Linked DNA regions of Canis lupus familiaris. The protein of the gene in region 4 interacts with the protein of the main gene of each other region in a pairwise test. Links are inferred from orthologs where the notes say so. Each region holds a gene or a part of one and is shown on either strand. Other genes may lie near its edges.

The links.
Region 1: the proteins of LNX1 (region 4) and LDOC1 interact in a two-hybrid assay, tested with the Homo sapiens proteins (2 studies listed by BioGRID and IntAct). The link is inferred for Canis lupus familiaris from reciprocal best matches to the Homo sapiens genes LNX1 and LDOC1.
Region 2: the proteins of LNX1 (region 4) and ZBTB43 interact in binary tests that used the Homo sapiens proteins (3 or more experiments, as listed by UniProt). The link is inferred for Canis lupus familiaris from reciprocal best matches to the Homo sapiens genes LNX1 and ZBTB43.
Region 3: the proteins of LNX1 (region 4) and KHDRBS3 interact in a two-hybrid assay, tested with the Homo sapiens proteins (2 studies listed by BioGRID and IntAct). The link is inferred for Canis lupus familiaris from reciprocal best matches to the Homo sapiens genes LNX1 and KHDRBS3.
Region 5: the proteins of LNX1 (region 4) and SAT1 interact in binary tests that used the Homo sapiens proteins (3 or more experiments, as listed by UniProt). The link is inferred for Canis lupus familiaris from reciprocal best matches to the Homo sapiens genes LNX1 and SAT1.
Region 6: the proteins of LNX1 (region 4) and RUFY4 interact in binary tests that used the Homo sapiens proteins (3 or more experiments, as listed by UniProt). The two-hybrid records come from large-scale screens. The link is inferred for Canis lupus familiaris from reciprocal best matches to the Homo sapiens genes LNX1 and RUFY4.
Region 7: the proteins of LNX1 (region 4) and RAD54B interact in binary tests that used the Homo sapiens proteins (3 or more experiments, as listed by UniProt). The two-hybrid records come from large-scale screens. The link is inferred for Canis lupus familiaris from reciprocal best matches to the Homo sapiens genes LNX1 and RAD54B.

Annotation. Positions count from the first base shown.
Region 1 is NC_049260.1:112,048,995-112,052,167, forward strand, and holds LDOC1 (protein LDOC1), read left to right. Parts: upstream 1-1,258; 5' UTR 1,259-1,405; coding exon 1,406-1,849; 3' UTR 1,850-2,673; downstream 2,674-3,173. UniProt on the Homo sapiens protein: May have an important role in the development and/or progression of some cancers.
Region 2 is NC_049230.1:56,548,418-56,552,536, forward strand, and holds the start of ZBTB43 (zinc finger and BTB domain-containing protein 43), read right to left. Parts: upstream 2,801-4,119; 5' UTR 2,642-2,800; exon of another isoform or gene 2,619-2,641; intron 2,299-2,618; exon of another isoform or gene 1,690-2,298; intron 1-1,689. UniProt on the Homo sapiens protein: May be involved in transcriptional regulation.
Region 3 is NC_049234.1:31,933,112-31,937,227, forward strand, and holds the start of KHDRBS3 (KH domain-containing, RNA-binding, signal transduction-associated protein 3), read left to right. Parts: upstream 1-1,316; 5' UTR 1,317-1,366; coding exon 1,367-1,454; exon of another isoform or gene 1,455-1,519; intron 1,520-2,371; exon of another isoform or gene 2,372-2,500; intron 2,501-4,116. UniProt on the Homo sapiens protein: RNA-binding protein that plays a role in the regulation of alternative splicing and influences mRNA splice site selection and exon inclusion. Binds preferentially to the 5'-[AU]UAAA-3' motif in vitro.
Region 4 is NC_049234.1:46,797,172-46,800,671, reverse strand, and holds part of LNX1 (E3 ubiquitin-protein ligase LNX), read left to right. Parts: intron 1-776; coding exon 777-1,148; intron 1,149-3,500.
Region 5 is NC_049260.1:19,543,611-19,547,564, forward strand, and holds the start of SAT1 (diamine acetyltransferase 1), read left to right. Parts: upstream 1-1,154; 5' UTR 1,155-1,349; coding exon 1,350-1,415; intron 1,416-1,631; coding exon 1,632-1,683; intron 1,684-1,773; coding exon 1,774-1,857; intron 1,858-3,261; coding exon 3,262-3,363; intron 3,364-3,456; coding exon 3,457-3,497; intron 3,498-3,642; coding exon 3,643-3,813; 3' UTR 3,814-3,954. UniProt on the Homo sapiens protein: Enzyme which catalyzes the acetylation of polyamines. Substrate specificity: norspermidine = spermidine >> spermine > N(1)-acetylspermine. This highly regulated enzyme allows a fine attenuation of the intracellular concentration of polyamines.
Region 6 is NC_049258.1:24,687,349-24,690,848, forward strand, and holds part of RUFY4 (RUN and FYVE domain-containing protein 4), read left to right. Parts: intron 1-381; coding exon 382-507; intron 508-790; coding exon 791-897; intron 898-1,244; coding exon 1,245-1,388; intron 1,389-1,827; coding exon 1,828-1,894; intron 1,895-2,420; coding exon 2,421-2,561; intron 2,562-2,971; coding exon 2,972-3,500. UniProt on the Homo sapiens protein: ARL8 effector that promotes the coupling of endolysosomes to dynein-dynactin for retrograde transport along microtubules. Acts by binding both GTP-bound ARL8 and dynein-dynactin.
Region 7 is NC_049250.1:39,848,663-39,852,746, reverse strand, and holds the start of RAD54B (DNA repair and recombination protein RAD54B), read left to right. Parts: upstream 1-1,284; 5' UTR 1,285-1,418; intron 1,419-3,099; exon of another isoform or gene 3,100-3,156; intron 3,157-3,821; 5' UTR 3,822-3,837; coding exon 3,838-3,972; intron 3,973-4,084. UniProt on the Homo sapiens protein: Involved in DNA repair and mitotic recombination. May play an active role in recombination processes in concert with other members of the RAD52 epistasis group.

The DNA.
Region 1 (3,173 bases), on a different chromosome or scaffold from region 4:
ATACGTACTTGATACAATTTAAATAAGTTAGGCACACTAAGACATTACTAGCTCATGTGATAAAATAGAATGTTTGTAACACATAACTATTATGCAAGTTTCAAAATATCTCTTAAAGTATCTTACTGTCCTGTACTCACCCTTCTTGTGATGACGTGAGATGATAGAATGCGTAGTGATCCGACGCCAGGCTACTGGTTGATCTTCTGGTGCCAGGTCAGAAGGAGGGTCAGCTGATTCCGGATCAAACCACCCTTGGCACGGGTGACTGAAAGCACCGGAGAGCAAAACCGTGGATCAGGAGGGACTCCTGTGTGTACTGCAGGAAGAGAAGAGTGAAAGCTAAGCAGTTGCAGCAGTCTGGGTGGGATAAGGAAGGCTGGATCAGGGTGGTATAGTGGGAGAAGTGACTGATCTGGGGATATATTTTAAAAGCAGAGCCAACAAAATTTCAGCTCTAGGGTCCTGGACTCAACGATTTAAATAATCCAGTTCAAAGTAGAAAGCCCAAAGCATTTAAAAACACAAGTGTTCATTGTTAAGCAACAAACAACATGCGACCGAGGGCCAAGGGGCATTAACAGGACATGAAACAGAGGGTCAAAGAGAGGCGAGAGCCTGCAAATCGTTCTCCAGTGGTGCTTTTGCAGAAGTTTTTATACTTGACTGTTTAGAAAAAAATACTTTTTAAAAAAGGATGTAGGTATACAATATTGTTTCCCAACTAAAGAAAAAAAAACCCCATTTAGATATTGTTTTGTTTTCAAAGAGGAGCCCCAAGGAAGGGTCTTTCGCAACTCCGAAAGGATGCGTGGCTCCCGCGGGGCAGGCCGCAGCGCCAGCAGTTCCCTGGGTGAGTGGGATTTCAATAAGCGAGGACGTGTGTCACCGAAACGCGCAGGTGGAATCTCGTAGCCACAGACCCACCAAGGAGCCCCGCACTGTGTGAGTCGGCTGAGTCCGAGCGTGACCGATCCTTTAAAGTTGAGCAGGTTGGCCCTCTCTGAGCTGGCTTTTGGCGGTCCCGGGGCGCACATCCGGGGCTCTAGCGCGGGAGCCTGCCCTTCCCGGGCGCCGGCCTCGGGAACTCCGGCCGCGGGCCCCCGGCTCCCGCCCGCCCCCTCCCTTGGACCGAGCCCCCGGCCCCGCCCCCGGCCCGCCGGCCCCGCCCCGGCCCCGCCCCCTCGCGGCGCCGGCAGCGCCCTGACCACGCCCCCCGACCCGGGCCGCGCCGGCGCGCCGGCCGCCCGAGTGGCTGTGCGGGCGGAGCTTGCGCAGCAGCCGGACCCCAGCGCGCACCGCCCTCCGCCCCTGGCCACCGTGCGCCTCGGCGGACACGCACTTCCTGCGAGGCCTCCGTGCGCACCTGAGCCGAGCCCAGCCCTGCGCTTGCAAGCCGTTCGCCATGGTGGACGAGCTGGTGCTGCTGCTGCACGCGCTCCTGATGCGGCACCGCGCCCTGAGCATCGAGAACAGCCAGCTCATGGAACAGCTGCGGCTGCTGGTGTGCGAGAGGGCCACCCTGCTGCGCCAGGTACGTCCGCCGAGCTGCCCGGTGCCCTTCCCCGAAACGTTTAGCGGCGAGAGCTCCCGGCTCCCCGAGTTTATCGTGCAGACGGCGTCTTACATGCTCGTCAACGAGAACCGATTCTGCAACGACGCCATGAAGGTGGCATTCCTAATCAGCCTGCTCACCGGGGAAGCCGAGGAGTGGGTGGTGCCCTACATTGAGATGGATAGCCCCATCCTAGGTGATTACCGGGCCTTCCTCGATGAGATGAAACAGTGTTTTGGCTGGGATGACGACGAAGAAGACGACGACGACGACGACGAGGAAGATGATTACTAGGCCGGGAGACCCTCGGGCCCAGGGGGGAGGGCCCTGCACGCCGCCATCCTCTCCCCCGCCTCTCCTGCCCGGCCCGGAGCCGCCCAGCGCCCTTCCGCCCTCCCATCCCCTTCCCTACCCCCAGCTCTCCGGTTCTCTCCGTCATCCCCCTGTAGTGCTTGCCTTTGTTCCGGTTACCTGCTGCTGGGGCCTCGCTCGGAAGCGCGCCGCCACCCACTCTGGCCAGCCCCGGGGCCCTCCCCTGCTGATTTGGACTGTGTCCTGAGCCCCAGCTATAGGGCAGGCCCCTGTTACAAACTGGTCAGACCACGCACAGCCCTGCCCTGCCGACTGCAAGGCCTCCATCTGCCCAGAGACCTACGCTGCCACTTCACCACCGTCCACCACATTCCAGCGACAGAACACAGCCTTTGAAAATAAGGACCAACCTAGAAGATGCCTGAGTTGGCTCTATGTCCTTGGACATTGATTTGGACAGCTCACCAGCCCCTGAAGGGGCCAGTCTTTCAACCTGGTTAGTTCCCTGCCTACTCCCAGGGTCCTCCCCTTCCCCACCAGATTGCTGCAGGGGCCTAGTGCGCCTGGCAGCCAAATTGTTGACATTTCTTTTCTCCTATGCACCAGTTTTGCACAGCTGTCCTTTTTCTTTCCAAACTGCAGCAGTCCCAACAGATGTGTGCATTTGGACAGAAATACTAAAAACAAAACAAACAAACAAAAACAGGCACTCAGCCCAGCTCCTCAATACCACCTGGAAAAAAGCATTTACGTTCTTTTCAATAAATATCAAGCACTACAAAAATAAAGAAAGGAGTGTCTTTTAATGGTTAAGTGCTATCATTGGCCTCTTCCAATCTCACTCTGACTCCCGTTATGCCCCCTGAGGTCAGGGAACTTAGTTCAGTCCCAGTATTCGCCACTGTCATCTCTAGGCTACAGAGGACAACTACCACAGGGTTTTCTAGGAATTCTGGTACTCTCCTCACCAAGGCATTTCTTAAAGCCCTGGCAAAAGGAGTGAGTGTCCTCTGGGGCCTCCAGGGTGGCATGGGTAAGGGGTGGCTGAGCAGGTGGCACACCATCCCAAACTGGGACACTTGAGAGTTAAAGGGGGACACTGTTAATAATTAGACTAGGACAACAGGCATAAATCTGGACACATACAATGTTATTATCTTCTTGAGCCTTTGGATTCCTTACTCAACACTGCCAGAGAAATTCTGTCCCTTAAGTCTTGTTGCCCGCGGGGCGCTGTTGAGTTCAGACTTCAGTTAACTACGTAGCATATTGTTTTAATGCCCCTTTCAGGTGCTTGAACTGACAT
Region 2 (4,119 bases), on a different chromosome or scaffold from region 4:
CATGGAGCCTGCTTCTCCCTCTGCCTGTGTCCCTGCCTCTCTCTCTCTCTCTCTCTCTCTCTCTGTGTGACTATCATAAAAAAAAAAAAAGGGAAAAAATAAAAGTTCATAAAAACGTAGAGTACATTCGACTGATTTTAAGAGGCATATTTCAAAATTTCTGCAATCAGGATATGATGGCCAAGTGGAAATTTTAATGCTTGTCACTGCCTGAGACAATGATAGAGCATTCCTGAGAGCCACATCAGTGTTTCTGAAGGCACAAAAGAGGACACTGGAAAAGTATGGACCCAACTCTGAACTGAGAAGTATTCAAAAAGAGTAGGAATGTTAAAAATTTAACAAACACTTTAGCCAATTTATTTCACTTATTTTTCTTTTTATTTAGCATTAGAATGATGTCATTTAAAAATGTCTAAATAAGTCTAAAAATATTTTCTCACTAAGAATTTTTATAAGCCTAAATGATTAAAAAAGCACATGTCATAGCTAAATTGACGGTGTTTTTTTCTCCTTTGGTGGTACAGAAAACAATCAATGGTATTAGGATTCAATACAGTATTAATTCAGCTGCAATATCTCACAAGAAAGCTTGAAAAACTACCATACTGGCAACCTGATAGCTTAAATAAGAGAACGTAACATAAAGGCCTCCCCCATCAGAAAACACACAGGAAATGACACATAATTTTGCATTATCATAATAACAGGGCTATTTTTCCAACCCTAAAGTTTTCTTTATGTAAAAAGTAAAATCTTTCCTCAAATTTCCCATGGGTCTGCAGCAGATGCCTACACTGAATCCAAGAACATGGAGGGAGAAGAGCCAGGGCAGGAATTTGCCACAAGTAGAAAGCTTAAGGGAAGATTTTAAGCAAATTCTTTTAACTGAACTCCTTTTCTGAGGACATTAGCTATGACAAAAGCAGGTATCAACAAACGTAGGTTCAACTAAATATTCCAAAGACACACAAAATAAATTTTTAAAATCACATTTTCAAAGAGCTGCTTAGTTCCAAGCTTCTCCAAAGAGCAGTTTGGGTTGTTTGGTTGTTTGGTTTTATTCTGTACTGTGGTAAAATACACTTCACATAAAATTTGCCATTTTAAAGTGTACAATTAGTGGCATTAAGCACATTCACAGCATTGTGCAACCATCACCACTATCCATTTCCAGAACTGTTTTCATCATCCCAAACTAAAACTCTGTATTCGTTAAACAATAATGCTCCATCTCTTCCTGTCAGGCCCTGATAAGCTATATTCTACGTACGTCCCTATGAATTTGCCTATTTTAGATACCTCACATGAGTGGCCTCATAAGATATTTGTTCTTTTGTGTCTGGTTTACTTCTCCGGTGAGTACTTTAGTAAAGAAAAGAATGAATCCCAAATTATTAGGTTTCTTATCATTTAACTGTAGATACTGACACAATCTCTGAACTATGCATACAGCTTTCTCAGAAATCCTGCTATTCCATGAGCCCCATGAGGCAGAGAATCTTAGACTGACTATTCCTTAGCCTGTGGACAGGTCTAGTTCAGCAGCTGTAACGCAAAGAGCAGGCTCTTGAGAGCCCCGGAGGCCATCCTGGGGTAAGGGGCTGGAGCAAAGGGAAGTGGAGGGTTGTGCAGGCCAGAAAGCCATGCATAAAAAAAAAAAAAAAAGACAAGTATGTATCAAGATACTCTGGCCCTGAGATGGTCTCTGGTTTGTCTCCCACGAGGCGTTCCTGCACCGGCACACTTGGGCTGGGCGGCACCTGTCAGAGTTGAGGCCAGACTGCAGTGTAGTCACTGAGACTGTCACCAGTTGCAGGAAGCTTCACGGGGTCATGAGTCATTTTGCATGGCTCAGAGGTCCGGGCAAGCCTGCCCTGCTCCGCCCAGACAAACCTAGTTAGGAGACGCACAAACAAGAGAGAAAGACACAAAACTGGCAGAAACACAGACGGCCAAAGAGCAAGGCTGACAGGCAGGCAGGCAGGCCATGAATGAGAGTGAGGACTGAGAGGGAAACACAGGGTCAAGAGTCACATAAGCAAAGTAGAGACAGAAGAAGAAAAAAAAAAAAGGGGGGGGGGTGCAGATAGAGATGTGTGCTCAGCAAGAGAAACTGGGGAGAAATACAAAGTCGATAGTGGCGGAGTTCAGAGGCAGAAAGGGCAGGTGACAACAGGTGACAGAGACGTCAACAGAGGGGAAACACTACTTAGAAGCAAACGGAGGCAGGCACCAGCCAAGGCCGGGTGCTGCCTGTCTCCCGGCTTCGGCTCAAACCCGAGGCCGCCTCGCCGCACCCACACGGCGCCCCCGAAAGGCCGGCGGACGTTCCCAGGCGGGATCTCTAAGCGCTCCGGCCCGCCGAGGTCCGCCGCCGCGGGGTGACCTTGGGCGAGACGCTGCTTCGGGGGCCTTGGGTGTCGCGGCCCGCGCACCGGGCTGGCTGGAGGCCGCAGGAGTCGGCCTCGGGCGCGGGGACTCCAACCGCCCGAGCGCGGCTTCTTGAGCATCCCGGTCTGCGGAACGGGCCTGCCGGGCCGGGGGGCGCGCGCGCGCCGGGACCTGCGGAGGAAGCCCTTAAACCTCCCCGGCTGCCCTCCCTGTCCCCTCGCTACCTGTCGTCCCGACTTCGCCGTACCTGCTAAGGGCTCCGCGTTCACATAACCCGCCCGCGGGACACTTTCCGCCGCCAGCGACAGGCCCGTTCAAGCCGTAGCCGCCGCGACCGCCTCAGCCTGCACCTCCCGCCCCCGGAAACGCTTCCCGGTTCCGCCCCCGAAACTGCCAGTGCTTCCGGGGGTGCGTCAGAGAGAAAACGCTGTGCGCATGCGGGACTCTCCTGCGGGGCGGGGCGTGAGGGGAGCGCGCTGCTGCCGCCCTACTCCTGCGCAGTGCAACCTGGCGCGGGTCAGTTGTCTTCAGGGACTCCGGGTGAGGCCGGTGCTGGGAATGAGGGAGCTGACACCGAGTCCTAACCCCTTTTCAGACTTGATCTCTCTCATGCTGCCTAGCAGAGGCCGTGTCGAATCCATTTTTGTCTCCGAGGGCCTTTGGCACGTAGTGGATGCTCAGGGAATGTACAAGGACAGGAACAGTTCCATCTGTGCCAGGCGCTGTGCTGGGTCCCTCTAAGAAAAACCTCATTTTGTTCAGGTCCCAGAAGAGACCCTTTGATCTCAGGGGAGGTAGATCTTCACTGCTACTAGGAGGAATGCCTCATGGTTAGTCCAAACTATTCACAGTAATCTCATGAGCCAAGTGGTTAGACAAAGCATAGTCATGTGACCAACTCCTAGCCCATAATACTTTTTTATTTTTATTTTTTTTCTAGCCCATAATACTTAAAAAAAAAAAAGAAAAGAAAAAACAAACAAAAACAAAAAAACAAAAAAAGAAAAGAAAAGAAAGTCCAGTAGGACTTCTAGTTGAGTATGCTCAAGTGCTTTGCCACTTTTATTCTCTTCCTTCCCCTAAGCAGACTTGAAGGTTGGAAGTTCAGTCCCCATCACGTGCCTATGATGGGACAAGCAAATGCTAAGGTTGGCAAAATGGAAAGATTGAAAGAGCCTAGGTCTCATGTGACATTAAACTACAGTTCTAGCTTACCTCTGGATATTTTATTACATGTGCCTAACATTTCTTACTCAGATTTTTTTTTTTTAATTTTATCCATTTATTCATGAGAGGCAGAGAGAGAGAGAGAAAGGCAGAGACAGGCAGAGGAAGGAGCAGACCCCCTGCAAGGAGCCCAATGTGGGACTCCATCCTGGATCCTGGGATCACGCCCTGAGCCGAAGGCAGACGCTCAACCGTTGAGTCACCCAGGCGTCCCTCAGACTTTATTTCTAACGAAACCGAGGACTCTTCAAATATGACAGCAACAAAATATATTAAAATAAGAGGAGAGATATTGAAAGCACCCTTTTCAATACGTAGATAAACTTGTGAGGAAATCAGGAAAAATCATCTGAGGCCAGGAAGAAAGCAGAAACGCAAGCCTAGGAAGTTAGAGTTGAAGTTGAGAAGTTATCCAGGGATACAGTCTGCCTCTGTTCTGATTGCTTAGGGTGTGTGCTATGCTGATAAGTATTTTGAAAATCATCTTTGGAGATAGGT
Region 3 (4,116 bases), about 15 Mb from region 4:
TCTTACTGGGAACTCTGGAATGGCACTTAGCTGGGAGCCTCAGCAGTCTGGGGCGGGGGAGGGAGATGGGGTGCTTGTGCTTGAGGGCAGTGGGTCCTGGGGGCTGGGACTTAGAGCCGGTTGGTGCTCCTTGGTTTCCACTCTCAGCATCTCTGGCTGTGGAGGACTTCCTGCGCTCCAGAGGAAGGGTCTGCTCCAGGCAGTTGGCCTTCCCCCGGTTTGTTCCTTCAAGAAACATCTCTGGTGCCCTCACACTTGTCCCAAAGTCACCAGGTCCCCCCAGCCCCTAGCTCTGCCCCTGAGATGCTCCTGGTGTCATGAACCTACAGAATTACACCTGTGAACCGGGAGGGACCTGGCGCAGGGGTGGGGAGGGGGAGCATGCTGCACTGACCACTGTGCAGGGGAAGTCTTGGAAAGCTGTGGGGGTGCGGTGGGGTGGGGTGGGGAAGGTGACACTGGGGCCAGGACAGCGAGGCAGGACAGGCTCAGAGTCCTTGGCCTGCTGGGGGATGGGGGCGGGGGGCTTGGGGGGCATTTACTCCACGCGCGCAGGGGAAGGGGGGTAAGGGGCAGAGGCTATGGCTCGCACGTGCCCCTGGGGGACTCTCCCCACGGGGGACTCTCCCCACGAGCTCGGGCCAGGCTGTCCTCCTCCCCGGGCGCGGCGGTTATGGGTTGTGGGAGGGGAGGGAGACCAGCAGGTGACGAAGCCGCCCTGAAGGGCACGCGCCGTCGCGCGACGGTCCCGCACCTGGGCGCGCCCCCCAGCTCGGTGCGCACAGCGGGGATGGGTTAGGGGGGTCCCGGGAGCCGCGTGGGGCGAGCCCCGGCCGCCCTCCCCGACCTCTCCCCGGGCACCCCCGCGGCTGACCTTGGGCGGGCCGCGCGCCCGCTCCCCCGGGCCTCAGTTTCCCGATCGCGCCCGGGGGGCCGGAGCGGGGCGCGCGCACCGCGGGAGGCGCCGGGACGCCCTTGCGGGGCCCCCCGAGGCGGGGGCGGGGGCGGGGGCGGGGGCGGGGGCGGGGCGGGGCGCGCAGGCGCAGGCGCGGCGGGCGGGGCGCGGGCCGGGCTCGGGGAGAGCGCGGGGCGGCGCGCGGCGAGCGGGTGGCGGCGGAGCGGGGCTCGCCCGGGAGCGCTGCAGGCTCGCCCAGGGCCCGCGCCGCTGCTGCTCGGCCCGCTGCGGGGCGGCGGGGGCCACCCGGGACCGGCCCCCACCCCTTGCCCGCGCGTCCCCCTGCCGCCGCCTCCGGGCCGACCTCCCGGCTTGGCTCCGCCGCGCCCCGGCCGCCGCGCCGGGCCCGGGTTGCGCGCCGCTGGGGCGCGGGCGGGGTCGGGGGGTGCGGGGGCCCGGCGGCCGGCGAGCATGGAGGAGAAGTACCTGCCGGAGCTGATGGCGGAGAAGGACTCCCTGGACCCCTCCTTCACGCACGCTCTGCGGCTGGTGAACCAAGGTGAGGGCGCACGCCGGCCGGCCCCAACCGTCGCCCGGGGCCGTTGGGGTGCGCGGGGGGCGGGGGCGGGGAGGGAAGCGCGGCGCTCGGGGGGCCGACCTGGGGCGGGCGGGGGCCCCGGGGGCGAGCTGGGGGCGGCTGGGTGGGGACCTGGGGCGACGTGGGGCGCCTGCGGGGGCGGGAGCCCATGCGCCCTTGGGGGGCCGGCGCGGGCGGGGGGCGCACAGGCTGGGGCGCTCGGATGCGGCTTGAAGCCCCCCGGGGACGCGAGGGGACCCGAGGGGCGCTTGCGGGTGCGCGTCGGCCCGCGTCCGAGGGCTTGGCCGGGGCGCGGGGCGCGGGGGGCGGGGGTTGAAGGATCTCATTGGAGGGGAGTTTGTGAGGGACTCGGGGACCCTATAGCGCGCTCGAGTTGTCCAGGGAACTGGAGAGGAAAGAGCTGGAGCAAAATGGAAGGATGTGAGGGGATGAAATGCACACGAGGTGAAGAAGGGAACAGGTGCTTGGATTGTTGGTGAAGTTTGAGGACCTTGTGGGGGAGGTTTGGGGTCAGGGCATCTCGGAGTAGAGGGACCCCGCGGTCCGCGTGGCCGAGCCCGGCTCCTCTGCTCTCCTCCTCCTCCTCCTCCTCCTCCTCCTCCTCCTCCCCCCACGCCGAGGCTGGAGCCACCCTGGCAGGTGGTCCGCCCTCCCCGGGGCCGGGCAGCTCCTGCCGAGGCTGGCAAGCTGGCCCTCGGAGGGGTTGGTGGGAGAGAAGAGGCCCACGCAGTTGCCCCCTTCTTGGCTTGCTTGGCTTCTCTTTGGGAGGCTCCGGGGGAGGGGGGTCGCCCTCCCTGGGGGCTGGCCGCTTAGGGATCGGGAAGACCGGGCAAGGAGTCTTTGCTGCCTGTGCCATTTCAGCGCTGCCCCCGCCGGTTCAGGGTGTGAACAGTCCTGCAAAGTACGGGGCGCCGGGGATCCAGGGACCTATGGAGGCGTGCCTGCCCGGGACAGGATTTCCTGGCTCGTTCTCTTCCTCCAGCCTCCTGAGTAATCTGGGATGGATGGTAAATCAAGCCTCCCTTCCCAGGAGCAGTCCTCACTTCCTTCTGTATCCGTTAATCCGTGTTTCGGATCAAGATGGGTTTGGGGGCCACTGGTCTGTTTTGTGTGTGTGTGTGTGTGTGTGTGTGTGTGTGTGTGTGTGTGTGTTTCCCCTCTCTGGGTGATGGCAGAAACATTATCTGGTCAGATCTGTTACCTTTTGCCTGAATCACTCAGTGCAGTGACAGTTTGTGGTTCCCGAGTTAAATCGGCTCTGCTGATCTCAATGCTGGCTCTGGCTCTTTTATTGTTGGAAGTGAAAGATGAGGCAGACATATTCTATCTGTATATAGATATCTATTTTTTAAAACAGCAGCCTCCAGCATTCGGCTGTTCCAGCCAGTTCTTCGGAGTAGGGTGTGTTGTCCGCTGATGGTGGTAGCGGAGAGGCTCGGTGTCTCCAAGAATTTGAAGCGTGCATGCTGTTTGAATGGTTGAGCAGAAATCTGTTTACAGAGCTTTCCCATTTCAATTGCAGGCTTTTTTTTTTTTTTTAATTTCTTTAATAAAGTGGGCTTGTGAAAAAGTAATGGGCTTACATTCTTAAATCAGAGAAAAAGAATTTTGAGCTTTGTTCCCATGCTCTTCTGAACAGTTCTGCAGTTAGGTTTGTACTCCTTGCTCTTCATGATTTACATATATCTTTTGTTGCCTGCTGGGCTGTCATTTCTGTGAAAGAAATTTCTTTGTACGTTGTGTGAGATCAGTGGCATTAGCAGTATTCTAGATTGTGGAATCAAGTGCGTTGTTTTTTAATAAAGAAGCTGACAAAGTTATGTTGTATTCAGTTAAGGAAACAGCTTAAAAGTGTGATGAGTTATCTTATTTTGAAACTTAGAATTTTTTTTTTTCCTCTGTGCCATATTGCCATAGTACTGTGTTGCTAACACGTTAAACATTCCTTTGGTTTCTATGTTTCTCCTAGCATTAATGGCCTCTAGTTACTTAGAACAGATATTGGACAATGTTGCCATTTAGTATTTTTTTTTTTAGATGTTAAATCTGATTACCTTACTTTTCCATAAAAAATGTGATTTGGGTAAGAAATGCATTTTTCACATTGAACAGTTCTATGAAAGAAGGAAAAGGTGCTAGGTGGATGCTCTCTTTACTGTTAATTTAGATTACTTCAGACTGAAATGTTTTGCCCTTAAATTATAAGCTGATATCCAGAATGCAAAGCCCTATCATTTAAAATACTAATCGTGCTCAATTATGTAACTTCAGAATTACAAGAGCATTTTTAAGTGTCTCAAGTCTGAATTTGAAGGGTTAATTAGAAAGCTTTGATTTTGAATCTGATTACCATCTTGTTATTGGCTATAGTAAAGCATTTTTAGTCTTATTTAGCTACAGTTTTGACTCTTTGCCTTGCAAAGAAACTCTTTTTTTTTCAGAGTTTATTCTGAACTTCAATGCATTAGCGTTCCGGCACTAACTTGTACAGTGGTGATGGTCCGCGGTGAATGCAATACCTTATGTTTTCGTGGAGTGTGTGCAAGTTTCCGAGGCTCCTTACGGTACATGATGCCCAGTTCCTGTCTAACACTTGCACTCTTATCAGATCGACACGATGTCT
Region 4 (3,500 bases):
ATTAGAGGGCCGAGCCCGAGGACGTGTAAGTAGCATAATAAAGTGATCCAGCCTTTCAGTAAGAGGGCCTGGGAGCTCATGCCTATCAGTTTGCTTGAAACTATACAGAGATTTTTTTTTTCCCTTTTTTGTTGAGAACATGGGCAAAAGACCTCATAGGCAGCAACAAACTTCAGACCACACACATGCACCCATGCACGCACATACCTGCACACACACGCTTGCACGCGCACACATGTGCAGTGGCAGGGCCCGGAAGTTCCAGCAGAGAGATGACCCCAGGAGAAAAATTCACCTGGAGGTTTTGGGGAAGAAAGTGTCAGCTCAGTTTAATCTGAACAGCATTTTCGTGTAACCATTTGACCTTCAATGGGAAATTTTCTTCTTTTGCCTTTTCCTTTTTCTTTCTTTTTTTCTATCCACTCCCCACCCCGAGCCCCTTCCCTGAACACCAAGTTGGGCAAGCAACATAAAGGAGGGCTGGGACTGCGTAAATACACCTGGGGCATGTGCAGGGACAGGCTGAAGAGGGAGAGGCCAGCAGAAGGTGCAGGGAACAGGAGGAAAGTGGGGTTAGAAGTCCTGTTGGAAGATGGGCGGGGAGGGGTCTTTGGAATATTTGGACAGAGGAGAAGGTGACAAACCAGAGGGGTCTTTCAGGAGGGGTCCTGCTGATGCTGTGGGGCCGGGCCTTGCAGGAAGGGTTGTTGTGGCAGGTGGGGCTGGCTGATTGGCTCTAGCTTCGGGTCCCCCCCACTGTCCGCCTCCCCATCCAGGTCAACGGGATGGACATCAGCAACGTACCTCACAACTATGCCCTGCACCTCCTGCGGCAGCCGTGCCAGGTGCTGCGGCTCACGGTGCTGCGTGAGCAGAAGTTCCAGAGCCGGAGCAGCGGACAGGCCCTGGATGCCTACGGGCCCCGCAGTGACACCTTTCATGTGATTCTCAACAAGAGCAGCCCCGAGGAGCAGCTGGGAATAAAACTGGTGCGTAGGGTGGATGAGCCCGGGGTGTACATCTTCAACGTGTTGGACGGCGGTGTGGCGGACAGACACGGTCAGCTGGAGGAGAACGACCGTGTGTTGGCCATCAACGGACACGACCTTCGGTACGGCAGCCCAGAAAGTGCGGCTCACCTGATTCAGGTGAGTCACGGGTCATTGCCAAGATCCTGGTTAGCACCTGTCAGCGTAAGTGGGATGCTCGTTACCCTGACCTACCCGCCCTCTGACGACCGTGTGTGACATGCAGTGGCCCCCTTCCCAGGAGTCAAGACTGAAGGGCCAGGTAGGAACATTACTCCAGCAAAAGATGTGTCTCAGGCCCACGGCCATTCCCTCAGTGTTGCCAGCCATCCGATCTGAGTGCCCACGTAGGGGTTGTAACCTAACCAGGTGAAGGTCACTTAAGATCAGCAGCGTTGTGTCATCCTTGGACCCAGTCTGTTATTTGCAGACCCAGGGGTCATTCACATCCATTCTGGACACTTCCAAGACACCTAGGGGTACTAACTCCCATAAGAAGCAGTGCCATGTGCCCTCCAGGAATCCTGTGGATGGAGACCACTGTGGGATTGGCTAAGGCTGAGCCTCCTCTCAATGGCTAAGTCCAGCCTTCTTGGAAAGCCCATGGGAACTCAAGTATGAATCTATCAGAAGGGCCCTAGAAAGAGAGGCATACAAGTGATGTTCCCGATAGCCTGACATTGGTTCAAATGAATTCACTTTCCTGACTGGCATAGCATCATCAAGCCCTAGCCTGGGTCTTGTTGTCTTTGGCTAGGTCACCATGTTTTTCCAACATTTAATGAGCTGCCATCTTTATTCTTAGGACAGGCTTTGTTGTGGGCTCTTGTACTCTAATTCATTTATTCACTCCCTTTAGCCAAGATGTATTAAGTTTCTGCTACTCAGCCAGCCACGGTGTCAGGTACAGAGAACATAGAGATGGTGGCCTCTTAGGCTGCTCTCTCGAAGGAGCCCAAATCTAGTACAGGGGATGGACTTTCTGTAAATAATTGCCATAGGATATGTTAGTACTATAATGTTGTTTCAGATGGAGAGATTTTTCTTGCATGGGCCTAGGAATTCTTTACAGGAAAATATCTTGAACTTGGGGCTTTGAGGAATCAGTAGAAATTCTCTAGGTAGACAAGGCAGGGAGGGTCATTTTAAGGCAATACACCACAAAGGAACATTTCCCTGGAAGGTGGTCTGGAAAAGCATTAATACCTGGAGCGTGGTGTCTATTATAAAAAGCAGCCGTAGCAAGGCAGGGTTGGGAGGCAAGGACCAGATCCTGCGGAGTTTTATTAGCCACTCTAAGAAGCTCAGACTTTATCCTCAAGGCCATGGGGATGTCCCTGGAAGGGTTTAAGAAAGGAAGTGACATGATTTTCTAGATCTCTCTAGAGGTAGTAGAAAGCTGATAGGGGAGGGGCCCGATTAGAGGCCTTATCGTATGAAGCGTTTGCAATTACCCGGCACACCACGTCAGCTTCCAATTAAAGTATTAATACTTCAAGAAGAGACAGCGAGTCAGCAGCAGTAGTTGACTAAACCTTGTACCAAGCTCCGCGGAGGATGATAATCAGAAGACATAGAGTACTTTCGAGAACTTGGTCGCTTACGCACACACACAAAACTCCCTACCCTGGGTTCCGGCCATGGAGTTCCTGCAGGTGTTCACAAGTCTCTTCATTGTCGTGTGTGTGGTATCTTCTCCTTCTTCCCAAGGAGAACCAAGGAGTGTGTGCTACTGTCCTTTTAGGTGTGGACGGCCTGAGGCAAAGAGTGCAAGGAGACTTACCCTACGTCCTCTGTCCACCAGGATAGGAAGCACATGGGCTGTCCCACTCTTGAGGTGATGCTTAACGTGATGGATGTTTATCTGCCTAACAGGCCCTGAGGCCATAGTCTGTGGAGCAGGTGGAGAAGAAAATCAAGAGTTATGAGGCATTTCCCCTCTTGAGTTGATGCCATGCATTCCCAAACCCGCATGCCCGGCTTTAACTTCTCTGAACACCATACTCGTGTAACCAACTCCCTACTTGGTATCTCCATGTGAATATTTTCAAATATTCAAACTTCAAACTTCATATCTAAAACCAAATCCTTGACTTCTCTCTACTCCTTGTCAAACCTGCCCTTTCCAGGTTTCCATCCTCTTCCAGTCTCTAGGAATGGCACAATTTATGCAGCTATTTGGGCCAGAAGATTTTCTCACTTTCTTCAACATGCTCTTTTTGGAATCCATTTCTCACTACCTCCATGGCATCCATGAGCCATGCTACCACCAGCACGGTCTCTGCGAGAGCCCTCCCAACTGGCCTCCTTGCCTCCGCACATGACTTCCTACCTCTGCTCTCTACAAGGCAGTTAGACGGCCACTCTACAAAATCAGTCCTATCCTGTCACTCCCACACTCAGCTCTCCGATGCTTCCCAAGACACCTAGATTAAAATCTCCAAATATTAGCAGTGGCCTTCAGAGCCATAT
Region 5 (3,954 bases), on a different chromosome or scaffold from region 4:
TTTGTTCTCAGGACATTTAAAAATTACTGAAGAATCCAAAAAGCGTATCTTTGAAAATTCTATGAAACATAAGAATACACAAGCACACATCCCTTTAGTCACCAGAGCAATGTCATCACACATTCTGTAAATCTGTGATCATTTGAAAATGAAAAGTTAAAGAAAAGGGGGGGAAAGCAGCACAGAGAATGGAGCAAGTAGGGATTACATCAACTTTCAACAGCGATGGAAGCCAGAAGGTAACCTGACATCACCACTACACTGAAAGAAAATAACATCCAACCCCAAACTCTATAAACAGTGAAAGAAATCCTTCAAGATGAATTGAAGACATATTTAGACAACCAACGCAGAAAGTTTTTCTGTACTGAAGGAAATTGTGAAAAGTGCCCGTCAGGCAGGAGAGCGTTTCCACAAGGAAGGTCAGAGATTTAACAAAGAATAAGAAGGAAAGAAAATTAGGAAAGAACGCTGTGCTAACTCTAAAAATTACAAGTATGAGAGAAAAATTATTGAGGAATCCAAATAGTTTACCTTAGGAAACTGTAGAAAACACAAGAATATACAAGCACGCATTACGTTAGTCATCAGAGCAGTGACTTCACACACACACATCAGGTCGCCTCTGGAAAATTCCCACAAGAATGAAAAGGGGCAGTGACGCCTCACTATTATTATGAAACTCGTTTTGACACAGACTCCCTGAAAGGACCCTGGGATCTGCAGGGTCCCCCACAGCACACTTTAGAGAACCGCTGCTCTCATCCTCACGTTGCCCAAGGCAGGTTCTCCTGAGTTCCACTCCCCTCCGGCCAAGGGAGAAACGGCAAGGTCACCGGCCCGGGTTCACAAGAGGAACTACTCTTTTCCTTTCGCAAAGGTGACCGGGTGACGCACAAGCTAGAAAGTCGGGTTTCCGGGAAGGCGTCGAGAGGCGCCGCGAGAGGGCGCCCCGAGAGAAGCCCGCGGCGCGCCTCGCCCCTCCCGCGCCCCCGCCCGCGCCCCCGCCCGCGCCCGCGCCTGCGCCCGCCGGGTTCACACGGAAGCCCGGAAGAGGGGGAGGCGCCCGGAAGAGGGGGGCGGTCGCGGCCTCATTGGACGAGCTGCCTCCGCCTCACGCCCGGAGGCGGGGCTACTTGGCCCTAAAAAGCGGGACCCGGCGGCCGCTAAAGCGCGCCGTTCTGGTCGCAGTCTGGCCGACGTGCTCGTTGCTCGCCGAGGTCCGCCGGGTCATGGTGCCAGCCTGACTGGGAAGAGGACGCTCCGGGGAGACGAATGAGGAACCACCTCCTACTACTGTTCAAGTACAGGGGCCTGGTCCGCAAAGGGAAGAAAAGCAAAAGACGAAAATGGCTAAATTCGTGATCCGCCCGGCCACCGCCGCCGACTGCAGTGACATCCTGCGGCTGATCAAGGTAGCGGGAGGCCCGGGCCGCCCCTGGGGAGGGGGAAAGTGGGGAGCCGCTCCGGCGGGTTCCCCTTTGTCCGCCCGCTCCCCCCAGCTTCAGCCGGGCCGCTCGATTCTGGGAACGAATCGCCGCCCCGCCCACCCCGTTCCCTCTGAGCTGCCTGGGCCAGGGCCTCACTTAGTTTTCTCCCTCTCTCCCTTTCTCCCGTGTGCATCGCCCCAGGAACTGGCTAAATACGAATACATGGAAGAGCAAGTAATGTTAACTGAAAAAGGTAACGCGACTGTACCAGGGCGGGGGAAGGGTGTCTGGTACTTGGCATCTTCACCGAGGCCATCACTGTCCCCGATGCCCCTTCTTGCAGATCTACTAGAGGATGGTTTCGGAGAGCACCCTTTCTACCACTGCCTGGTTGCAGAAGTGCCCAAGGAGCACCAGTCTCCGGAAGGTAACGCCGCCCCCCCCCCCCCCCCCCCCCCCCCCCCGCTTCCAGAAGCCAAACACCAAGTGTTGTATAAAACATAGAGTGTCTGTTGTGTAGAACCACTGACAACGCAGGCCAAAGTTACTGAGAAATTGGCCAGAAATAATAGCCAGTGTTCAAACTACTGAGGAAAAAGAAAATAGATGTCCTGCACATAATAATAGGGCGGGTTGAAAGAGCTGTTTAAGTAAGTATCAGAATGCTGTGGAGACCTGGAAGGGTTAGGTATAATGTCATTTATTGTAATTCAGTTCTTGTTTGACCCTAACGTAACCTTTTTTGTAATTGTGTTAAATCACATTTTTTTCTTTAATTTGTCCCAATCTTCAGGTTACAGTCTCTAGCTTCGCCATGTACATGGCCCTTCCGTGTACATGGATGGGCGGGGAGGTAACTAAAAGATCCTTTACACAATAAAGTAGATGATCATGATAAATGAGGTAAGGTCCTATTATCACACACTTAAAACACGGTAGATCAGAAACTCCAGTGTACTCTCTTCCTGTGTTTGCAAAGGACTATAAAATGGCTAGAAAGTTTAATTTGAAACCTTTGCCTCCATTTGAAATTATAGACACCCTATTTTTATAGGGAGTCAGATTGTTTTATTTTTTTTTTTTTTGCTGGTCCCTGTTGACTGGTCAGAAGACAGAGCTAAAAGGGGAAGTTGTTTGGGTGGGTGCTTCACTTTTTTCTTAAGTCTCTTCCCCAAGCTAGAAGAAATGAACGGAAAACATAAGGGATGAGGTACTTTTTGGAGGTATGTGGATGTTACATAAGAGCTATTTCTGGGTACCTCTGCTTCTTCTGGCTTAAAACTGGGGAGAGCAAATTGAAAATCTGAATTGGAAGGCAAGTTCTGAAATTAAACGTTACACTTTTGATGGCCTGATGTCCTGACCTTAAGGAAGCAGAGTTTCTAATCTACAAATATTTACTATTCTGAACTGCCGTGTAAACCCGACTTATTCCCAAGTCAACATACCAATATATCAATAGGATGTGAATAATGTGTGTGTTTAGTTTAAGACTACAGCAGTTTTGCTCTGGCAAGTAATGAAAGTCTCACTTCCTGGGGTGTGAGATCCAGCAGATCGCAGAGTGGCCAGTCCCATGATTTTAGCCTCGCTTCAGCTAGCTCTAATGTGTGCTTTTTGCAAATACATGTCCTGAGAACAGTGAGATCATCCAAAAGTGGCCTGGACTGCACTAGCATAAAAATCAGGAGACAGTCCCGTTTCAGTGCCTACTTACTTCTATAATACATGCATGTTTATTTTCTAAAACCTATGATAGGCTTCTGATTTTGCAGCTACAACTTTTATGGGTTGCTTTTCGTTCACATCTCATGTGATATTCTTATTACAGGACACAGTGTTGTGGGTTTTGCCATGTACTACTTTACCTATGATCCATGGATTGGCAAACTGTTGTATCTTGAGGACTTCTTCGTAATGAGTGATTATAGAGGTATGGCTGAGTTTAGGAGGAGATGCCCTAAAGAGAAACCAGGACTTAACATCCTGAAGATGACTTTTTAAATGGTACTTCTCTTTCTTTTAGGCTTTGGCATAGGATCAGAAATTCTGAAGAACCTAAGCCAGGTACGTCTTGGTTTGGGGGGAGGGGCAGGGGGTTTGGTTTCCAGATTTGTAAGGGTTACTGAATTATTTTAATGACTGGAACAGATTTGGGTCTTGGAAAGCAGGTGAAATGTCACTGAGTTTGTTTTACTCTCCCTTATAATAGGTTGCGATGAAATGTCGCTGCAGCAGCATGCACTTCTTGGTAGCAGAATGGAATGAACCATCTATCAACTTCTACAAAAGAAGAGGTGCTTCTGACCTGTCCAGCGAAGAGGGATGGAGACTCTTCAAGATCGACAAGGAGTACTTGCTAAAAATGGCAGCAGAGGAGTAAGGCGTGTGCCGGTGCAGACGATGACAGCTTCCATTCTATTTTAGATTAAGTTCTCAACTGATCTTGCTTTCTATCCTGTTTGTAGTCAAATAATAGAATGAACACCCATTCCAAAGCTTTATTACCAGTGGCGTTGTTGCA
Region 6 (3,500 bases), on a different chromosome or scaffold from region 4:
ACGAACTTTCTATTCTCGTTCCCTGCTTTATTCTCCTTGGCAGGCAGCGCTGTCTAACATAACAGATGTTTTACTGACTCAGTGTGTTCGCTAACTCCACTACCAAGTACATGCCCAGGAGGTCAGTTTGTTCATCGCTGAATTCCCAGGGCACGGAACAAAGTCTGGCACAAAGCAAGTGCTCAACAAGTACTATTGGAACGATTGAATGGAACACCAAAGGCTCAGAGAGGTCCAGCACCTTGCTCGTGGTCACACAGCCCGTCAGGGCGGAGCCAGGCCCGTCTACTGTAGCCCTTTCCTCTCTCAGCGTGCTGGAAGGCAAGGCCGCTTCTGGGAGGAAACATCTCTATGCTTTCCTGTCCCTCATCTCGCTCCCAGTTTGACCAGAAAGAGCAGAAGAGCTTCCTGAGGCCTCGGAAGGATTACTGGGACTTCCTCTGCACCGCCCTGTGGCGGCAGCGGGGTGGCACGGAGCCCGTCCACTTCGTTCACTCACAGGACAAGGTGTCCAGAGCCAGGTGGTAGGGTGGCTGGCCTCAGCATCAGGGGGTCCTGTCATCGGCCCTTTGTGGGGAATGGCCTCCGGGGGCCCCTTTCTCACCCATCCCTGCCCCGCAGACCACAGACCCCTCACCTGGTCCTCACATCTCATTAGCCCTGCCCTCAGCATCCCTCCGGCCACCCCTTTCCTCCCATGATGATACAAGTTCCCATATCGTCTGTCTGTGCTGGCTGAGTGCCCCCCAGCCCCCGGCCCCTCACCATTCGCCCCCTGTGCACCTTGCAGCTGAAGACTCCTCTGGCAAAAGGCCGCACTCTCATCCGCTTCTGCTTGGCTCAGGGACAGCTGGCCGAGTCCCTGCAGCTCTGCCTCCTGAACACAGAGCTCACCAGGTGGGGCTGTTGGGACGTGCTCCTCCTGACACCCTTGGAGCCCACTGTCCCTCCCTTGTGCAAGATGCCTCTCTCCCCGCCCCCCTGCCCCAGATGGAGGGTGACTATCAAGAGCAACTAAAATGAGAGCCATGAGGGAAAAATCAAGGAAGAAAGAGCAAGGGGGGCGGCCAGAACACAGGAGTCCCCGTAGCACCATGATGCTGAAGCCTCCTGCTCCCCGAGGGCCACACCCTTGCCTTGGGAACCATGCCACGTCGTGCACAGCGGAGGCAGATTCTCGGGGTGGTGGGGGGAGCAATAGCACCAAGGCCAAAGGCCAAGGCTGCTGCTCACTATTAACACAGGGAATGGTATGGCCCCCGGAGCCCTCTGGTGTGCCCCGAACTCCGGGAAGACCTCCTGGACGCTCTCTACACTCTCAATGCGGTGGCCTTTGACTTGGACCTGCAGTGGCCAAACCTAGACGAAGCCTGGCCCATGTTCTCAGAGTGAGTGGGTCCAGCGTGGAGGGAAGCCTGTCTCCAGTGCCTCACTGCCGTTGACCACCACCCACCCACCAGTGAGCTCCAAATTCGGCCTCTGGTCCCATCAGTTCACCTCCCCTTCTTGCGGTCCGAGGCCCCGGTTCCCCACCTCCCCAGGCATCTGTTTGCCCAGTGTAATCCCGCCAAGTTGCGTGGTGCTGCATACAGGACACACTCCTAAGGAGTTGTTGGAGGGTCAGAAAGATGAACCCATGGCGGGTGTCAGCATGAGTGGCTGGCGGGGTGCGTGCGTGGATGGAGAGGGGCATGCATCCACGAGGATGAGGGCGGAAGGTGGGAGGGGTAGCACCGTGAATGGGGGGTTGGAAAGATGGGATGTCCTGCAGCTGAGCACCAAGGCCACTGCCGGAGAGAGCCCCCCCGGCCCCCCTTTTCACTGCAGGTCCTGTGGCTCCAGCGCCAGGACCCAGGGAAGAAGACCCAGAAAGACCAAAGATGCCCCGAAGCAGGTACCTCTGCCCAACTTCACTCTGAGTTGCCTCCTCTCCATCTCTGTTGGGCCCCCCAAGGATGAGCAGTCACAAGCAGACAGACAGACGCCAGCGTGTAGACCTGAGGACTGGGAAGCCACAGGAGAAGGAAGGGCTCATATTCCCGAGGTGGTGAGGGTATTGGGGAGAGAAGGGGACCATTGGCACCCTACACGGGAGCCAGGGAACCCAGGGAAAGGGGGCAGGGGGAGGGTAACCAGAAGCATGTAGGATGCACACCAGGGAACAGCCTCCATGTGACAATTTGCAAACATCTCAGTTCAGTTCAGGAAGCAACTGAAGAGCCAGGTTTCTGGGTTCAAATCCCAGTTCTGCCCCTAATAACAAAGGTCCCTGGCAAGGTACTTGTCCCCCCTGGCAAGTGGTCGTGAGGATGCTTTGAGACAGACCTCATGTAGCACAGAGCACGGCCCCTGGCCACATGCTCTCCAAGTGGTGGCTTGTGGCTCTTGCCGGTCCCCAGTCTCGCTTTGCACCCCATCAGCTTCCAGGCACCAGGTACAGAAACCATGAGGACACAGCCTCCGACCAGAAGGGGGAGTCCGTCACAATACAACCTGTCAAGCGCGGTGATGCGGGTGTGCACAGAAGAACATGGGAGCACAGAGAAGGCTGCCTGAGAGAGGTGACTCTTGGCTGCTGTGGGTCTCTAAGCTTTCACCACAACCCTACGAGGCAGACGCTATTATTCCCATTTTACAGACAAGAAAACTGAAACACAGAGAAGTTCAGGGGGCAGGGTCAGAGCAGACGGTGGGAAGAACTTCGTGGGAGGCAGATCGATGCAGAAGGCGCAGGGGAAGGAGGGAGGGAGGAGAGGAAAGAACAGGGAGAAACGCCACTGCTCCCTGACCAGACCACAGCTCGGCCGGATCCGCCTGGGGCGATGGGAACATTCCGATTCCTGGGCCTGGACCCCGATCTCCTGACTCAACTCCCTGAGAGTTAGCAAGTTCCTTGGTGAAAGTCTGTGGCCCCTCCTACGCACCTGGTTGGTGAATTGGTTGTGAGGGAGTTTTGGGGGCTTCTCTGCAGATCTCAGCCGCACATGCGGACCCCACAAGAGTCCAGCCAGAGGAGCCGCACACTAGCCACGCCGGCTGTCGGCGAGATGCGCCCAGGGAAGACTGGTTAGCTGCACCCCCCAGGTCGCAGCAACACAGGCATCTTCGTCCCTCCATGGAAAAGAAGAGAGAAGATCCCAGGAGCCTCGGGCCCCCCCAGAGCATGTGGGAACCAGAGGGGGAGGGGCTTCAGGGAGCCCCAAGAACAGGATTCTGCCTGGAGAACTCAACACCCAGCATCCAGGGACAAGGGGAGCGGGCCGAGGGAGCTCCGAAGGAGGTGATAGGGACAGAGGCTGAGGACAGAGGCGTCCTACCTGGTGCAGAGGGGACACCTAAAGGGGGAGCAGAGTGGGGTCATGTCCATAGGCTGCCGGCCTCCAGCCCCACAGGGACAATAGAGGACACTATGCCAGGGAGCCGGCAGGAGCTGGAGGTGCCTAGCCTTCCGGGGGACCCTCGGGTCCTACTACGAGACCTGGGAGCAGAGGAAGACGCCG
Region 7 (4,084 bases), on a different chromosome or scaffold from region 4:
CTAGTACAGTTTGGTAAAACTTAGTCTTCTGTAATTTTCACATCTGTTTTAGAGTAAATGGCTTTTTTTGTTTTTGAGAGAGAGTATAATCGGGAAGAAGTAGAGAGAGGAGAGAGTCTTAAAAATAGCCTGGTGCTTAGCCTTCAACATGGGGTTTGATCTCTCAACCCTGAGACCATGGCCTGAGCTGTAATCATGAATGAGATGCTTAACCATCTGAGCCACCCAGGCACCCCTAGAACTAACGGCTTTTGAAAATCATGCTGAATGATGAAAATTGTATTCACTTATTTTAAGTAGGCTGCACACCCAACATGCCCAATGTGGGGTTTGACCTCATAACCCTGAGATCAAGACCTAAGCTGACATCAAGAGTCCAGTGTGCAACCGACTGAGCCACCCAGATGCCCCTGTTCACGCATTTCTAAGTGTTTTGTTTAAACTGGAGTATTCTGATAGATCATACAGTGACACGGTTTGGAGATACTTTTTTTTTTTTTTTATTTATTCATGATAGTTACAGAGAGAGAGAGAGGCAGAGACACAGGCAGAGGGAGAAGCAGACTCCATGCACCGGGAGCCCGACGTGGGATTTGATCCCGGGTCTCCAGGATCACGCCCTGGGCCAAAGGCAGGCGCCAAACCGCTGCGCCACCCAGGGATCCCGGTTTGGAGATACTTTTAAAAAAATATAGATTTTATTTCTTTGAGAGGCAGAGCAAGCATGAGTGGGTGAGCCTGGAACTCAGAGGCCTCAATGCCAGGAGCTGAAACCAAGAGGAGGCTTAACCAACTGAGCCACCCAGGTGCCCCTGGAGATACTTTTGCATTAAAGGCCTAGGACCTGTCTATTTCCTTGCCTTGTCACTATATTAAAGGGTATCAGGCCATTGTTAGTTTGCCGATTTGTGCCAGGCAATTTAAGGGCCTGTATTATTTTAGCAACACTGCTAAAGTCACTTCATTCCTAACGTGCTGCACGATTTAGGAGCTGCGCGGGCAAGGACGTCTGCATACCGTTTCTCCAAGCACAGACCATCCACCTGCAGCGAACACACCTGTGTCGACGTTCCAGATTTAAGCTGTGTGATCTGCTCTAAGATGAGGTCTGTATCCTCAGCTCCTACAGCGGGTGACAGGAGGCCATCAACAAGGAAAGAAATATTTTTTCCAAGTAGATATTTCGGAGCAGGACCACACCTCGGACCCGGACCGCAGGCGCTTACGGGGCCGCGCAGAGACCCGCGCATGCGCAGTCGAGGTCGTGCGAGCGGAGCCGGTGGAGGGCAGTGCGCGTGCGCGGCCGGCTCGCCCGCTATAGGCTGCTCCGAGGCGGGAGCCTTAACCTCCGGGAGGTGACGGGACCTCGGGCGCCGGCTGTCTTGCTGGGACGCGCGGCTTCTGTGGGATCTTCGCCCGTACGTCCTCGGAGGGGGCGGCTTGGGGGGCTGCGGCGGCCTGTGCGGGACGGCGTGGGGAGGGGCGCCGAAGGGGGCCTGCGGGGGCGGAGGGAAGGAAGGCGGCGGAGCGGCGGGGGGAGGGGAGGGGAGGGGTGCGGAGCGACGGGGGACGGAGCCGAAAGGGAAGGGGCGGGGCCGAGTGGGGGCGGAGCTAGAGTGTGAGGGGGAGGGGGCGGAGCTAGAGTGAGGGGCCGAGTGGGGGCGGAGCTAGAGTGTGAGGGGGAGAGGGGGCGGAGCTAGAGTGTGAGGGGAGGGTGAGGGCGGAGCTAGAGTGAGGGGGAGAGAGGGCGGAGCTAGAATGTGAGGGGGAGAGGGGGCGGAGCTAGAGTGTGAGGGGGAGAGTGGGGGCGGGGCTAGAGTGAGGGGCCGAGTGGGGGCGGAGCTAGAGTGTGAGGGGGAGAGGGGGCGGGGCTAGAGTGTGAGGGGAGGGTGAGGGCGGAGCTAGAGTGAGGGGGAGAGAGGGCGGAGCTAAGTGTGAAGGGCCGAGTGGGGGCGGAGCTAGAGTGAGGGCGGGTGGGGGCGGAGCTAGAGTGAGGGGCCGAGTGGGGGCGGAGCTAGAGTGTGAGGGGAGAGTGGGGGCGGAGCTAGAGTGAGGGCGGGTGGGGGCGGAGCTAGAGTGAGGGGCCGAGTGGGGGCGGAGCTAGAGTGTGAGGGGAGAGTGGGGGCGGAGCTAGAGTGAGGGCGGGTGGGGGCGGAGCTAGAGTGAGGGGCCGAGTGGGGGCGGAGCTAGAGTGTGAGGGGAGAGTGGGGGCGGAGCTAGAGTGAGGGGGGCGGAGCTAGAGTGTGAGGGGGAGAGGGGGCGGAACTAGAGTGAGGGGCCGAGTGGGGGCGGAGCTAAAGTGAGGGGCGGGTGGGGGCGGAGCTAGAGTGTGAGGGGGAGAGGGGCGGAGCTAAAGTGAGGGGCCGAGTGGGGGCGGAGCTAGAGTGTGAGGGGGAGAGGGGGCGGAGCTAGAGTGAGGGGGGAGAGGGGGGCGGAGCTAGAATGTGAGGGGGAGAGGGGGCGGAGCTAGAGTGTGAGGGGGAGAGTGGGGGCGGGGCTAGAGTGAGGGGCCGAGTGGGGGCGGGGCTAGAGTGTGAGGGGGAGAGGGGGGCGGAGCTAGAATGTGAGGGGGAGAGGGGGGCGGGGCTAGAGTATGAGGGGAGGGTGGGGGCGGGCTAGAGTGAGGGGCTGAGTGGGGGCGGAGCTAAAGGGGGCGGGGGCGGGAGGGATGGGGCAGGGGCGGGGGGACGGAGCTGAATAGGGCGGGGGCCGAGTGGGGGAGGAGCTAAATGCGGATGCGGGTTGGGGCGGATATAAGATGCGGGGGCGGGGTCGGGATGGAGCTAAGGGGGAGGGTGGGGCGGAGCTGAAGTCTGCGGAGGTGGGGGGGGGTCGGGGTCGGGGTCGGGGGTGGAGCTAAAGTGTGGGGCGGGCGGGTCGGTCGGGGCGGAGCTCATGTGTGCGGGCGGTGGGAGTCGGAGTGGGGGTCGGAGCGGAATGCGAGGCGGGCAGGGTTGGGTTCGGGAGGGATGGGGGTCGGGGTCCGGATCAGAGCTAAAGTGCACGGGGCGGGGGGGGGGGGGGGGGGGGGGGGGGGGGTTGCGGCGTCGGAGGATGGGGACGGGGTCGGGGTCTGGAGGCGGGGCGCGGCCGGTGGGGGTCAAGGCAGTGTCGGGGCCGGAGTTGGAGTGTGCGGTCCGGTGCCAGGAGCATCGGGTGGGGGGGGGGGTCGGGGGCGAGCTGGGGCCGGGGCTGAAGAGTGAGGGTGTCGGGGTCGGGGGGGTCGGGTGGCAGCAGGGTCTTGGCGGTGCGCAGGCCCCAGGGAGGGGCGACCGCGGGCCGGGGGTCTCCCTGCGGGGCCTCCCTGTGGGGCCCGCCCGGTGCTGGGCTGTTTGCCGGGGCCTCCCGAGTTGGCCCGCGGGGCTGGCAGGGTCGGGGCCCCCCCCCCCCCCCCCCCGTGCGTGGGCACCGTGGGCGGCGCGGTCAGGAGCCACGGGGGTCCCGGGGTCCCGGCGGGGCCCGCTGCTGGGGGGGTGGAAGGCGGAGGGCGGGGTCAGCGGGGCGGCGGCTGGCCGTCGGCTCCTCCTGCGCAGAGGGGTACTGCTGGCGCCCTGGAGGCCTCGGGGACCCGGGCCCCCCTCGCATTCTCCAACACGCGGGCTCACGTTTACGGCATCCTGCTTAAGTCCTCGATTCCTTACAGGAGCCCTTTGTGATGAAAATAAAATCTTACTGGCTGTTAAACTTATATTTTAAGGCTTTTTGGCATATTTAGTCTCTTACTGTATTTTTAAAGATACGGTTGTAGCGATGAACTGTTTTCCTATTTGGAGTTAATTCTATCAGATGCATGGATGATCTGTGTTTTGGGTATTTTTTAGGTCGGTACTGCTGAATATGAGACGGTCTGCAGCGCCAAGTCAGTTGCAGGGGAATCCCCTCAAAAAACTAAAATTCGTACCACCAGCGAGAAGTAATCCAAGTCCAGATGAAGGGATTACAAAGATGAGTCCTGATGTAAAATTAATTGAGGTAAAAAAAAAAAAAAAAAGGAAGCATAATATAGAGAAGCACGCACTTTTTAAAAAAGACATGTCACTTAAGTTAACAGTACGTCGGGCAGCCCGGGTGGCTCAGTGGTTTA